Oryctolagus cuniculus: one gene and its partner. The protein of the gene in region 1 interacts with the protein of each later gene in a pairwise test. Links are inferred from orthologs where the notes say so. Each region holds a gene or a part of one and is shown in the gene's direction. Other genes may lie near its edges.

Evidence for each region. The genes of interacting proteins can lie anywhere in the genome.
Region 2: the proteins of MAB21L3 (region 1) and AGGF1 interact in binary tests that used the Homo sapiens proteins (3 or more experiments, as listed by UniProt). The two-hybrid records come from large-scale screens. The link is inferred for Oryctolagus cuniculus from reciprocal best matches to the Homo sapiens genes MAB21L3 and AGGF1.

Annotation. Positions count from the first base shown.
Region 1 is NC_091438.1:54,355,538-54,363,193, reverse strand, and holds the start of MAB21L3 (protein mab-21-like 3), read left to right. Parts: upstream 1-3,551; 5' UTR 3,552-3,739; intron 3,740-7,656.
Region 2 is NC_091445.1:1,340,334-1,348,024, forward strand, and holds the start of AGGF1 (angiogenic factor with G patch and FHA domains 1), read left to right. Parts: upstream 1-3,042; 5' UTR 3,043-3,363; coding exon 3,364-3,597; intron 3,598-4,949; coding exon 4,950-5,052; intron 5,053-6,653; coding exon 6,654-6,841; intron 6,842-7,691. UniProt on the Homo sapiens protein: Promotes angiogenesis and the proliferation of endothelial cells. Able to bind to endothelial cells and promote cell proliferation, suggesting that it may act in an autocrine fashion.

The DNA of each region.
Region 1 (7,656 bases):
TTCCCAGGTGCATTAGCAGGGAGCTGAATCAAAAGCAGATCAACCAGGACTCGAACCAGTGCTCCAGATACAGGAGACTGATGTTGCAAGCAGCAGCTTAAACCACTGTGCCACAACACCAGCCCCAGAAGTGAGCCTTTTGAACAAGGTTTAAGATATCTACCTTGAGAATGGAAATAAGCACAGAAGAATTGATTATTAAGTAATAACATTGTACGTGTACTTACAGACTTACTACCAGAGCATCATCCAGCCTACTGAGCTGTAGAATAAATGAACTTGGTCATTTTTTCCTTTCAACTGAGAGATCTCCCTGCCTAATAGAGGGATGACTTGCTCTAGGGATGTATTCTTTGTAGTAATTCCTTGGATAGTCTTCAAGGTTGTAACATTCAGGTCTTTTAAAATCATTCACCCAATGGAAACAGTGTATAAAAAGCCCAGTAATACTGTTGGTTTGATTCCAGGCATTTAAGGATCAGTACCTTAAGAAAGAAAAATCAGTAGATGTTTAAATCAGTGTTTAGATTTTTCTATTTGCCAGCTAACCCAGAAGCTGCTTCTCTGGTGTTGACCAAAGTGTAGGTCACCTTTGATTTGTCAGAGGAGTGAATTCCTGAAAACAACTGAGAATGAGGCCTACCTGGGATGTTTGACAGGCTGGCATGCCCCCATCCTGTGACATCTCAGGAAAAGGTATTTATGAATTGATAAGTAAACTCCAAAACATCTTCCAAGGCCAAAAAAATGCTGTTGGGCTGTTGAATTCCATTGCTGTTGACTCACTATTGTCATAGCAGAACCAGCATAGCAGATGCACTCTCACAGTGAAAGAATTTATGATCTTCCCTTGAATACCCCAGGAGAGGGAAAGGCTTGATAAGGATCAGCTGATAAGGAGACTAGATGGTGAGGTTAAAGGTTAAGGACCTGGGGCAACAGCAGAGTGAAGTGAGTGTTATTTTGGTCACAGGGAGTGAAGTGTTAGTGTTAGGCAGAGGAGCAGAATCATTAATAAGCTTAGAAGGCAAAGGTCATAAAGTGACACCAAGTGAGAAACAGTGACAGCCTGAGCTTCGGACATCTTCCGTTGCCTTTCAAGGATTATTTCAGGGAAAAATCACATTTCTTTATTTGCCAGATGTTTTGAGTACCCACCAAGTGCCATTTCCTCTGGGTGCTGGATTCTAAGAGATGGTAACAAGTATGTTTGGGTCTGTTTGCTGGTGATGAGGAAGAGGAGGGGGTGGGGAACATGGATGGTCTTCAAGACCATGCCTTGAGTTCCCAGCATCATGGCACCATATTAACTACCTCTCATTGTTATGTCAGAGAATTCTCACAAGGCTGTAAGGTAGCTTTTTTTTTTTTTTTTTATTAATTTATTTGAAAGTCAGAGGTCAGAGTTACAGAGAGAGAGGAGAGGCGGGGAGGAGGAGGGTCTTCCATCTGACAGCTCACTCCCCAGTTGGCTGCAACGGCAGGAGCTGCACCGATCCAAAGCCAGGAGGCAGGAGCTTCCTTTGGGTCTCCCACATAGGTGCAGGGGCCCAAGGACTTGGGCCATCTTCTAAAGCTTTCCCAGGCCATAGCAGAGAGCTGCATCGGAAGTGGAGCAGCCGGGACTCGAACCGGCACCCATATGGGATGCCAGCGCTTCAGACCAGGACGTTAACCTGCTGTGCCACAGCGCCAGCCCCATAAGGTAGCTTTTTAATCCCTGCCCTGTCGATGAAAGCAATGAATTCAAGCAATGCCAGGTAACATTCTCAGAGTCACAGCTAGTAAGTAGTAATATTGGATGGAGTTCCCACTATTCATATGTCAGGTCCCACATTCTTAATTACCCCTGCTGCCTTGCCTGCTGGCAAGGAGTTCATTCAAGAGGAGAGGAGGGGGCAAGTGTGTTTCAAAGGCCATTAGAAATGGCTCCAGCATCTCCCTGGCTTTTGGGACAAGGGGGAGAGGTTGAGAAGAGCAGACACTAGTGAGTCCCAAGGAAGCAAAGGCCCAAATATTCTGGTGAGCTCTTTCTGGAGTCCACTCTGTAGGTTTCTAATTAGTGAGGGTTCCTCTGTGTCTTTTAGGACCACTGAGATTTTTCCCTCCAGAATGAGTGGAAGAGCATGCTTGTCAATCCAGAATGTGGATTGACTGAGACCTCAAGATTCAGGCTCCCTGTGGATAGACCAAATCCAGTTTAGGATCTCAAAGAGAAGATGGCAAAATCAGCTCCATCACTCCAGGGTGCCCCTTTGGGATTGCTGTCATAATTTGCTTTGAAGAAACCATTAACCTGCCACCCCTCCCGGTACATTCAGGAGGTACCAAGGGCCTGCTGTGCGCTAGGCATTGTATTAGGCTTGGGGTTGTCACAGGCCAGTGGAGTGGCTTTCTCAAGCCTCAAGCCTTCCCAGAGTCTTTGACTTGAATGGGATGAGCAGAGAAAAAATTGGGAGAGGGGTTTGAAGTACCGCAGAGATGAAAGACCTGGGTGAAGTTAGAGAAAATCGCGGGCCAAGTCTGGCAAGCTAGCTGGTAACAGAACTGGATTTCTTTCCAGGGTGGATCTGGAAATCAGGATGCTGCTTGAGACGCCTGCATCCCGTATCAGAGTGCCTGGGTTCAAGCCCCTGCTCCGCTTCCAGCTTCCTGTAGCTGTACACCCAGGGAGATAACGAGTCATGGTTCAAGTACTTAAGTCCCTAGCCCCCATGCGGGATACCTGGATTGAGTTCCAGGATCCCCACCTTGGACCTGGCCCAACCCCGGCTGTTTGAAGGCATCTGGGGAGTGAACCCAGAGATGAAAGACCCCCCTGTGTCCTGTTTCTTTTCCTTTCTGCCTGCCTTTCAAAACACAAATACAATTTAGAAGTAGGTGTCCAGGAAGGTTTTTTTGGGAAAGGAGACCTCACGCTGAGATTTCTTCTGGGTCCAAGAATTCCAAGCCACAAAGAATTTTAACTTCTAAGCTGTCCCTCTGGCCTGTGCTTTAATTATGCTAAAACCTATTGTCTGGGGAGAGGAAGCTTCCGCTATCTGCACAGGGCACATAAACATTTCCTCTTGGGAGTACCCTCTTCCTTATCAGATCAGCCACACTGTGAAGGCCCAGAGCAAAGTAGACCTTCCCAGGAGCCACCAACTTTTCTTTCACCTTCCTCTTCACATGTAAGTGAGGCTTAGTAGCTGCTGGCTTCAGAGTAGTTCAACATATTCCCCAAAGACACTTTGAGTACCCTCGCAAGTCCTCATCTGTGTTAGGAAATGTTAACAATGCTGCCTTTAATTTTGCTGTGAGGATTACTGAGAGACGCCTGTGTGTGAAATTCGAAGTGCTACAATCAGTTGTAGCAACAGAAACCGACAGTGATTTTAAAACAAAAGGTCGTGTTTTTATTGAACTGGCCGCAGTGGCATACTTTTCCCCAAAAATGCAATTGATGGGAAACTGTTGCAAGAAAACTCAAGCTGCTTCACTTGCCAACCAATAACGTAACTGAGGAAGTATGACTTTTAAAAGAACATTTCCCTCTTCTTTATTGTCTGTGGTTTTCACTACAGACACTGCGTGTTGGCTGCCTTCCCCCAGAGGGAAGTGACTGCCCTCCCCTTTTCCCAGGAATCCGGGAGGAGACTGCAGCCTCCTGGCGGGAGCAGTGGATTATATAAAAACTGTCGCCTCTGACCCTGGCCAACAGACCTCTCTCTCCCTCTTTTGGACTCCGGTTGGAGGGGTAAGTGTTGGGGGGACAGGTAACTGGGACTGTGTGTGTGTGTGTGTTTGTATTGGGTCTGCGGCTGTACAAGGGAGCTGGAGAGAGAAAGCCAGGAGTAGTGACACGGGCTGTGTCATGCTCTGGAGAGAGGAGGATCCTTGAAAATTCCTTCTGGCCGCAGGGGTGCTCAGGAAGTGTGACCTGTCCAGAGCTTGAGCTTGTGTTTGAAGTAAGGAAACCTGAGAGCCGTGGTCCCTGCGCGAACAGGAAACAAGCTCAACCACACATCAAATATGACTCCTTAAGGTCTTGGGATTTCAAGGACAAAAGAATATTAGAGGGCTCAGTTCCATCTCGTGTGGGTTCTGTCCTGTGCCCTGTGCCCTTTCCACTTTATTCACTCCCCTAGCATCTCGACACCCTCTGCTCTGGATACCAAGTTTTAGTGCTTGTATATTATTTCCTCTTTTATGTTTATAAAAATAACATGTTCAATTTTTAAAAAAAATGTTCGATAACACAAGGCTAAATGGAAAAGAAAAATTAAATGCAATCTTGCTGTCCAGAATTAATCACTCCTAACCTTTTCTCCAAGAATGTTTTGTGATTTTTTTTTCATTTGCCTATATATAATGAACGTTTTTCAGGAATTAAGAATTTTTTTGTTTTATTTTATTTTACTTATTTGAAAGGCAGAGAGACAGAGAGTTCTCCCATTCATTGGTTCATTCACAAAATGCCCGCAACAGTCAGGGCTCTGCAAAGCTGAAGTCAGGAACCTGGAATTCACTTGGACCTCCCAACTGACTGGCAGGGGCCCAACCACTTGAACCATCCCTTGCTGCCTCCCAGGGTGCACAGTAGCAGAAGGCTTGGGTCAAGAGAGGATCCAGGACTTCCACTCAGCCACTCCAGTGTGGAGTATTGCAGGTATCCTAAGCACTGCCCCGCTTGCTAAGCCAAATGCCCACTCGTCTGTGGGTCTCTCTCTCTCTCTCTTTTTTTTTTTTTTTTTAAGATTTATTTATTTATTTATTTGAAAGACAGAATTACAGAGAGGCAGAGGCAGGGAGAGAGAGAGAGAGGTCATCCATTGACTGGTTGACTCCTTAGATGGCTGCAACGGCCGACCCGAAGCCAGGAGCCAGGAGCTTGTTCTGGGTCTCCCACAAAGGTGAAGAGGCCCAAGGACTTGGGCCATCCTCTAAAGCTTTCCCAGGCCATAGCAGAGAGCTAGATTGAAAGTGGAGCAGCCAGGACTCGAACTGGCCCCCATATGGGATGCTAGCACTGCAGGCAGTGTCTTTACCCACTACGCCACAGCACTGGCCCTTCTATGGTTCTTTTTAAGGGCCGCAAGGTCTTGCATTACATGGCTATATTATAATTTATTTAGCCAATGTCTAATTGCTAGATATTTTAGCTTAGTTTTTCCTTTTGTAAATGAGGCATACAGAAGGTTGGCATACCTCCCTTGTTTCCTTCAGATAAATTAAGATACAAACTCACTGGGTCAATGGGGATGATTTTTAAAATTTTGATGAAAATCTTCATATGAAATTATAATGTCATTGTTAATAGATGAGGGCCAGATTTCCCATAGCACCCTAAAACACTACCTTTTTCTTATCTTTGGCAGATTATCAAATTATGGGTGGAGTAGATGAGGGGGATAGCTCATTGTTAAGGCTTAATTTGCATGTTTTGGTAACTAAAGTTGTGGTCATTTTGTTTATTAGCCATTTGTATTTCTTTTATGGGTTCCTATCCCAGTTCTTGGCTCATTCTATATTTTGAAACTTTTTTCTAATTTTGAAGTTTAAAATTGTTATCTGAAGTTTTTACCACCTTTGGCTTGTGGCACTCACATACACAAATTCAGATGAATGGTTATCTCCATCTTCTGACTCTTTTTATGGTTTTAAAAAATATTTAATTTCCTTATCTTTTCCTTATCTTCTCTGAGCTCCTGAGTGTTTTCTCTCCCAGGCTTGCTCATCTTTGTCTTGTCCCCACCAATTATAAATGCCAGCTTTATCTCAGGGCCTTGAGGACCCATAGCCGGGACAGTTGTATTTCCTTAGGCAGAAGAAGGATTAGGTTGAAAGGAAATGGAAGTCAGGAGAATTCAACTTTATGAGTAGCATTTTGTCTGTTGCCCTTTTCAACAAAAGAAGAGCAACAAAACATGACAAATGTTTTGATTTATAAAGTCTGGATATGTGGACCCAGGAGTGTTTTCTGTGTTTCTTTGGTGCCCTATAAAAAATTTTATGGGAACTGTGTATTCCCTAGAAGTTGAAAAGAATCATCAGTAAACTGAGACCCATATTGTCTAAGAGGCAGTTTGGGGAACAGTTTTATAATGGTTTCTGTAGTGGTTTTGCTTAAAATATTCTTACTTTTTTTTTGAGTCAATTTTTCTAATTGATTTTCTTCTGAAATGACATCTCTTGTTGAAATGTCTGATTTTCCTTTGAAATGTCATCTCTCAACCAGATTTGAAATTGCTTAAGTATTGGTGTAGCAGAGTAATTTTTCTATATCATTCTGATTTCTGTTTTGTGTACTATTATTTTCTTTACACTTGCTTGTCTTTGAGGGTCTTTGTTGTTGTTGTTTTATTATTATTTTTAAAATCCCCAAGTAGTTGGAGTTATTATGTTCATAATGTTTTCTTACTGTTTTGCTCTGTGGTCAGAGGATATAGAATGCTTAAGGTTCTCTTCGCTGTGATGTTTCACATTTTCTTGGAACATATAGTAAAATTGTCCATCTATTTTCATAATGCTGTACCTACTTGATCTGTCAAGGACTGAAAAGGGATGTGTTAAGACCTACCTCCTAGGACCATTGTATTCTTGCCAGCTTCTTTTTCTACTCAGTAATTTATGCTTTATATGATTTTTTTATAAAGGATTTATTTGTTTATTTGAAAGGCAGAGAGACAAAGATCTTCATTTGCTGGTTCACTCCCCAAATGCCTGCAACAGCTGGGATTAGCCAGCCCAAAGCCAGGAGCTAGGAATTCCTTCTGGAGCTCCCACATGGGATGATTCTTGAACCATCGTCCACTGCCTCCCAAGTGCATTAGCAGGAAGCTGGATTGGAAAGGCAAAGTAGCCAGAACTTGAACCAGGTACTCCAGATGGGTTGAGGATGTCCTAAGCAGTGGCTTAACCCACTATACCACAACACCCACCCCATATATGGTTATTCTTCATATTTGAAATGGTACATAAAATATTTTGCTCGACTGTTGCATTTTCATAATCTCTGTTGTTGACAACAGAAAATTGAGATCTTTTCTCCAACAGCGTCTACAGCGATTTTAACTCATTGACATTTATTGTCATGATTGATGTTTTGAACTTCTGTCCTCTTATGGTTTTTTTTTTGTCTATTTCTTGCTATATTATATGTTTTTCTATCTTTTTCTATATGGATGGTAGACTTTTTATTATGTTAAAATATACATAGGAAAATTTACCATCTTGGGCCATTATTTTGGTTCAGTGAGCTAAGCTGCCGCCGGCAATGCTGGCATCTCATGTTGGAGCACCAGTTCAAATCCTGGCTGCTCCACTTCCAATCCAGCTCACTGCTAATGTACCTGGGAAGCCAGCAGAGGATGGCCCAAGTGTTTGGGTCCCTGCTACCCATGTGGGAGACTTGGGTGGAGCTCTGGTCTCCTAGCTTCAGCCTGGGCCAGCCCTGGTCGTTGCCTCCATTTAGGGAGTGAACTAGCATATGGATGATCGATTGATCCATCAGTCTATTTATCTATTATCTATCAAATAAATCTGCCTTTCAAATTAACAAATGTTTTAAAAATTTATCATCCTAGCCATTTTCAAGTGTGCAGTTCTCTAACATTAAGAACATTCATACTGTTGTGCAGCCATCACCACCATCACTCTCCAAAATGCTGTTCA
Region 2 (7,691 bases), on another chromosome or scaffold:
CTGTGCCCGCGGTATTGGCTTGCCTCTTCCCACAACCTATGACACGTGTCGTGACAGATGAGAAAGCTGGAAACATGGTGTGCGCAAGTACCCTGCCCGTCGCACGGCACGTGTGCAGCGAAATGAGGTGCAGGCAATCTGTCTCGACCTGGAAGTCATTTTAGGGCCAGACGCAGCCTCGCCGTTCAGATGCTGTGGCCCACATAGAGGGCCTGACGCCGCTCCCTGCCGGTGCAGACCCGGAGGCTCGGTGACGGCGCAGGTGCAGGTGACTGGGTCCTGTCCTCCCCCCCCCCCCCCCGACTGCATTTCTGGCTCCCAGTTTTGCAGGCACTGGGGAGGTGAACCGGCAGGTGAGAATTGTTATGTGTCTCTCAAATAAGTAAATTTAAGTAAATTGTAAAGAGTCGTTTTAACGGGCAAGCCTTGCTGTGCAGTTTAGCCTGTTCCACACCCGAGTGCCTGGACTCAGGCCCCAGTTCTGATTCCAGCCCCTGCCGACGTGACCCTGGGAGGCAGCAGTGGTGGCTCAGGCCTGGAGTGCCTGCCACCGTCCACCTGCTGGCTCCAGTCAGGAATGTTTAAATTACTTGCTTATTTGAAAGGCAGAAAGAGAGAGGGAGAGGCATCTTCCATCCACAGGTTTGCTCCCCAAAGCCCCAGCAGCCAGGGCTAGACCAGGAGCCTGGAGCTGCATCCAGGTCTCCCACGTGGGTGCAGGGGCCCAAGCACTTGGGCCGTCTTCTGCTGCGTGCTGTGCATTAGCGGGGAGCCAGATTGGAAGTGGAACAGCCAGGACCCAAACTGGTACCCACTTGGGATGCTGGCACTGCAGGAGGTGGCCAGGTCTGCTAGGCGACAGTGCTGACCCCTCTAGGGAAACACTTAAAGGGACGCATCCCATAGGAACCAGCAGCCCTGGCTGGCTTCCTCCTCCTGCATCCGTTTGCCTGCTTTCTGGCCCCTCCAGGAGCCCTCGCGGTGGATGGTGGCTCTTTGCTCACAAGGGCCGTTCCTGGCGCCCTGAGGAGGTGCCGTCTGGTGTACGTCGCTGATGCTGGATCCTGAGGACCCACAGTTAGTTCCGTGGAGAAGCCAGCGTCCTCGAGGGTCAGCGCCCTCCTTCCCGGGGCAGAGGAGAGGAGAGCAGAGGAGAAGGTTTATAGTAATTTTTGAAAGCCAGCTGCACAGTCGCACAAAGTGAACTCACAAATGCACGCGTGCAGGCTGGGGTTTACCCCGTCTCCTCCAGCCTCCTTTCTAGTACCCTGGTGTGGCAACACCACGTCCACCCGCTCTTGGGCCTCCAGGGGACAGGGTAATGGTCAGTTGACCAAAAGTAACATGGAGCCGTCGGTGAGAGCTGTTGAGAGGCTGTGGCTCTCCGGATATTCCCGTGACATCCGCTGGTACGTGGGAGGGGAGGGTCGGCTCCCCAGAGGACCGGTGTATTACCACAGGTGCATGCTTGTTAAATACGGAGTTTATGACACTCTTCACAACTGGACATATACTGGGTTTCTGAGTGGACGGCGTTCTTGCCCTGTGGGGTGTCGTCAGCTGTGTGGAACCCCACAGGCTCCGTGTGGCTTGTCAGGCTGAGTGTGCGCTACCACCGTATGGCCTCAAACAGCCCTCGCTTACTCATTCCCGCGAGCCTGGGGGCTTCGTGGGCTGACTGCCCTGGGTTGCTGACGTGAGGTGGGGTGGGGGAGTGAGGGGTCCTGGAGCACCATGTGTCCGTCATCGTCCTAGACCAGCAGCCTGGCCTGGGTGTCTTCTCAGTGCCAGGGCAGAAATGCAGACGGCAAGCAGTGCCACGCAAACCGGGGGCCGCCTCCCCTCAGGGAACTCGACGGGAGGGGCCGTGGACCCGGACCCCGACCCAAAAGAGGGAACTCGGCGAGAGGGGCCGTGGGCACGGACCCGGGACGGGGAACTCGGCGGGAGGGGCCGTGGACGTGGACCCCGACCCAAAAGAGGGAACTCGGCGGGAGGGGCCGTGGGCACGGACCCGGGACCAGAAGAGGGAACTAGACGGGAGGGGCCGTGGGCACGGACCGGGGACGGGGAACTCGGCGGGAGGGGCCGTGGACACGGACCGGGGACGGGGAACTCGGCGAGGGGAGCCGTGGGCACGGACCCGGGACAGACTGGGGCCGTCAGGAGACTGCCCAGTGTGATGGCGGCCGTGGCCCTCACTGGCCACGGGCTACCCAGGTGTCGCCTCACACACCGCTTCAGGGACACGCGAGGTGGCGTGCGGAGAGGCCAGCGCAGGAACCGGGGGCTGAGGGGAGCAGCGGGAGGCGTCCTCCTGTCTCTGAGCGTGCGCAGAGCCGGAAGGCGGGGGAGGCGGGTTCCGCTGCGCTGGCCGCCGGGGCTGGACCTCAGAAAGGCGCTAACGCCGGCCGGGGTCAAACCCCAGAACAAGCGGAGGAAAGATGCTCCGCCCCGCGTGAGATCCTGCGAGCCCGGGGTGCGGGCCGGGCCGGCAGCTGGGGCGCCCTCAGAAGCCTCGACCGGGGTCCGGTAAGGGACACGAGGGCAGGGTCCGCGGTGCGGGCCGGACCGGGAGACGTCATCTACCGCGTGCACGCAAGTCACGCCTCGTTCGCGCAAAGCCAGGCCGCCCGCCCGGCCTCCCTCCGCTGGGCCGGGGGCGCGGCGAGGCCACGGCAGAGGGGGCCGCCAGGGGCCACGCCGGCCGGGGGCCCTGCAACCCCCACAGCGCCGAGCCCAGGCCCCGCAGGACCCCTGAGGACGCTGGCGTCGTGGGCGCTGCGATCCCGGCCTCGGCGATTGCGAGGTCGCGCGGCGCTGGCCTGGAAAGAGAGCGGCGAGGGCCCGCAGCGCGCGCAGGAAACCGCGCTCGCCCAGGAGGCCACGGAGCCCGGGAGCGCGCCCGCCGCAGCCCCGCCCCTCGGCCGAGAGCTCCGCCCTTTCGAGCGCAGCCCCGCCCCGCGGACCGAACGCCCCGCCCCGCGCACGCGCGAGTTCGCCCGCCGCCAGGCCCTTCCCGCTCGCCGTAGCTTCCGGGCCCGCCCCGAGCTTCGTTTCCGGCTCGGAGCCTGACGGCCGCGGCGCGCCTGGGCTCGGGCTCTCCGGCCGCTTCCGTCGCCCGCGTTCCTCCCGCGTCTCCCTGACCGGGGCGCGGGGTCTCCGGTACAGGGTCCCGGTCCGCCTAGATCGCACAGGGGCCGTCCGCCGCCCCGTTCGGCCGCAGGCCGCGAGCGTCCGCGCGTCATGGCCGGGGCCCGGCGCGTCCGGCCGGGGCCGAGGCCGCCCTCCGCCGCCCGCGCACTCCCGTGGCCCCTGGGCCCGCCGGCGCCGGCCCGGGCCTGAGCGCCGCCCGTCGCGCCCATGGCGGCGGAGGCGCCGTCGCCCTCGCCGCCGCCGCCCGCCTCGCCCGAGCCGGAGCCCGAGCCCGAGGCCTCGCCCGAGCCCGAGCTGGCGCAGCTGCGGCGGAAGGTGGAGAAGCTGGAGCGCGAGCTGCGGAGCTGCCGGCGGCAGGTGCGGGAGGTGGAGCGGCTGCTGCACCACACGGAGCGGCTGTACCAGAGCGCCGAGACCAGCAACCAGGAGCTCCGCGCGCAGGTGCACGGCGGGGCGGGGGCGTGCTGGGGGCGGGGACAGTGTGCTGGGGGCGGGGACGGCGTGCTGGGGGCGGGGACGGCGTGCTGGGGGCGGGGACAGTGTGCTGGGGCGGGGACGGCGTGCTGGGGGCGGGGACGGCGTGCTGGGGGCGGGGACGGCGTGCTGGGGGTCGTCGGGGGGTGTCCGGGGGCGGGGACGGCGTGCTGGGGCGGGGACAGTGTCCTGGGGGCGGTGTGCTGGGGCAGGGACGGCGTGCTGGGGGCGGGGACAGTGTGCTGGGGGCGGGGACGGCGTGCTGGGGGCGGGGACGGCGTGCTGGGGGCGGGGACAGTGTGCTGGGCGCGGGGACGGTGTCCTGGGGGCGGGGGCGGCGTGCTCCAGGGTCGGGGGGCGTCCTGGGGGCGGGGACGGTGTGCTGGGGGCGGGGACAGTGTGCTGGGGCGGGGACAGTGTGCTGGGGCGGGGACGGCGTGCTGAGGGCGGGGACGACGTGCTCCGGGGGCGGGGACTGCGTGCTGGGGCGGGGACGGTGTGCTGGGGGCGGGGGCGGTGTGCTCCAGGGTCGGGGGGCGTCCTGGGGGCGGGGACAGTGTGCTGGGGCGGAGGCGGCGTGCTGGGGGCGGGGGCGGTGTGCTCCAGGGTCGGGGGGCGTCCTGGGGGCGGGGACAGTGCTGGGGGCGGGGGCGGCGTGCTGAGGGCGGGGACGGCGTGCTGAGGGCGGGGACGGCGTGCTGGGGGTCGTCGGGGGGTGTCCGGGGGCGGGGGCGGGGGCGGCGTGCTGGGGCGGAGGGCGCCCGAGTCGCCACCCTGCTCGCCTCTCCGGGCGGGCGTCCTGGTGGCGGTGGAACTTTTGCTTCATTTTTTTCTGGTCCCGGCCGAGTCTGTGAAGCCGCCCCGAACCCGCGTGCTCTCTAGCTCGCTGAGCGCCGGGGCTTCGGCTCGGTCTGGGGAGCGCCCTGCCGGAGCCCGAGTGAAGCGGCTGGAGCTGCTTCCTACACTGATAGTCACGACACTTGCAAACAGAAATTCCTGTTTCAGGAGAACTAGTGACCTTGTGAAATACTATCATTGAAACTTTCTTGTTAGAAATAAAGAATCCCGCCCGCGAAGTCCTGTTACCTAATTTCTTCCGGTTTGGTTTCGGACATTTAACAAGAGAGCTTAAGAAGATCGATGCAGATTACATGTAAATGTTACAGGAAGTAAGTTATGCCATCTTTAGTTTTTTCTGAATAGGAAGCCAGCTGTTCTTAGCACTTCTCTAAAAAAGACGTGACCTCTTGCAGTGTCAGGAAAGTGGCGCATCCGGGCGGGGTGGCGGTGCTGCGCCCTGACGCCTTGTTCTCTCTCAGGTGGAGGAGCTCAGGAAGGTGCTGCACTGCGCGAGGAGCAGAGCCAGCGGGAAGGCTGACGTGGAGGTGCAGACCGAGGACGGCGCTCCCTGGGCGCGCTCAGGTACCCCTTCCTGCTCTCCACGGCCCGTCGGCGCAGCGGGGCGCAGCGGGCACAGCGGGCGGTGGAGCGCCGACTTCTCTCCCTGCGATGTGGCGTCTGCACGGCAGTCTGTTCTTGTGGGAAAAGTAGAAATACATTCTGTTCCTGCAGCTCCTGGGCCGGGGCTCACGTGTGCTCAGGGCCACACTCACCGTGGCGTGGCTGATGTGTGCTCAGGGCCACACTCCCTGTGGCGTGGCTCACGTGTGCTCAGGGCCACACTCCCTGTGGCGTGGCTGATGTGTGCTCAGGGCCACACTCCCTGTGGCGTGGCTCACGTGTGCTCACTGGCACACTCCCTGATGCGTCTCACGTGTGCTCACTGACACACTCACTAGTGTGGGTCATGTGTTCTCACTGGCACACTCACTGGTGTGGGTCATGTGTTCTCACTGGCGTGGGTCACATGTGCTCACTGGCACACTCCCTATGTGTCTCACGTGTGCTCACTGGCACACTCCCTGTGTGTCTCACCTGTCCTCACTGGCACTGTCACTGGCGTGGCTCAAAGTGCTCACTGGCACACTCCCTGATGTGTCTCACGTGTGCTCACTGGCACTCACTGGCGTGGGTCACGTGTGCTCACTGGCACACTCCCTATGTGTCTCACATGTGCTCACTGGCACACTCCCTGATGGGTCTCACGTGTGCTCACTGGCACACTCCCTGATGGGTCTCATGTGTGCTCACTGGCACACTCCCTGATGGGTCTCACGTGTGCTCACTGGCACACTCCCTATGTGTCTCACGTGTGCTCACTGGCACTCTCACTGGCGTGGGTCATGTGTCCTTAGTGCCACACTCATCGTGGCGTGGCTGATTTGTTCTCATTGGCACGCTTGCTATGGGATTCTGCCTCGCTGTGCGTCACCTACGTCCTTGTGTATCCGCCTTGTGACCACAGGGCTGTGTTATCTTGTTGGGGCGTCCACTGAGGCACGTGTCCAGTGACAGTCTCTTAGGCCCTTGTTGAACAGTGAGCTCTCCACCGTGGCCTCGCAGTGGCGTTAAATTGTGAGGAAGACCAGTGAGCTGCTGGGTTTTAATGTTGTGGATTACAAGAAGTAGTCATCTTCCCATTAAGCGCTGTCTTGTTTTACTCAGATGCATATCACTTAGCAATGTAGCTGAATTTCCACAGACAGCAGTAATACTATCTTATGTATCTGTGTGATAGAAATTCTTTGGGAGTCAGCCTCGTGAGCAGATTGCCAGAAAATCAGCCACTAATACCTTGGCTTTGTTTTGCTGTCACTGATAAGCAGCAGTATGGGGTATGAGGCGAGAAGTTAAGCGTTGCTCTTGCCCATTTGCTTCCTGCTAGTGTGGGGAATCCAGAAGTGCTGTGTTTTTTCCCTCTTCGGCGTGACAGGTGGGTGTGAATGGGGACGTTAGAATCGGATGCGTCCGTCCCTGGGTTAGTCTGCACCGCCAGTTCTTCCCTTTCAAATGTGTAGACTGTAGAAATCGTGGACAGTGTGTGTCATCAGTGCCAGTGTTGTGGAATGGAGACCTTTTTATGCGCACCGTCCTAATCCGCCGCTTGGCTTGTTTTGCTGCAGATTATTATTACCAGACATATTATAACGATGACAGTCTTCCCAGTCAAGTCACGGAACTCGCGGCTCAGCAGTGCCAGCGTGCTGAAGCTCCAGCTCTGACTTCCGCAGACCAGTCACAGCCAGAGCGTGCTGCTTACGCCGACCCCGCTGAGTGCGCCTCTGGGCACCACCTCGCCCCGGACACGGAGGTAACGCAGTGCGCAGCCCGGGACGGTCGCGCTCGAGAGCTGGCCTCCTCGTACTGTGAGTGTGAGTGTGAGAAAACACGTCTCTGCTCGGCACTGCACACGAGGAGTGGTAACTGTTCTGATGTGTAGTTATGCAGCGATATCGCAGTTCCTGAAAAATTAAAGCCTGTTTATGTGTAATTGCTTTCCCGTTACATCATGTTCTCAATTTTTATGGTCTGCATAAAGTGGAACAGTCTGACAGTGTATCTTGGACTCCACCCAATAGCCTTGGCTAACAGCCACAACATCAGTGTCACACCTAAGGAGTTTTTTTTTTTTTTTTTTTTGACAGGCAGAGTGGACAGTGAGAGAGAGAGACAGAGAGAAAGGTCTTCCTTTGCCGTTGGTTCACCCTCCAATGGCCGCCGTGGCCTGCGCGCTGCGGCCGGCGCACCGCGCTGATCCGATGGCAGGAGCCAGGAGCCAGGTGCTTCTCCTGGTCTCCCATGGGGTGCAGGGCCCAAGCACCTGGGCCATCCTCCACTGCACTCCCTGGCCACAGCAGAGAGCTGGCCTGGAAGAGGGGCAACCGGGACAGAATCCGGCGCCCTGACTGGGACTAGAACCTGGTGTGCCGGCGCCGCTAGGCGGAGGATTAGCCTAGTGAGCTGTGGCGCCGGCCACACCTAAGGAGTTTTAATGTGGTGTTGGTGTTGTGGCACAGCAGGCTAAACCACCACTTGCAATGACACTGGCATCCCGAATGGGTGCCGGTTCCAGTCCAGTCTGCTCCACCTCTACCCAGCTTACCGCTGAATGTGCCTGGGAAAGCGTCAAAAGATGACCCAAGTGTTTGGCCCCTGCCACC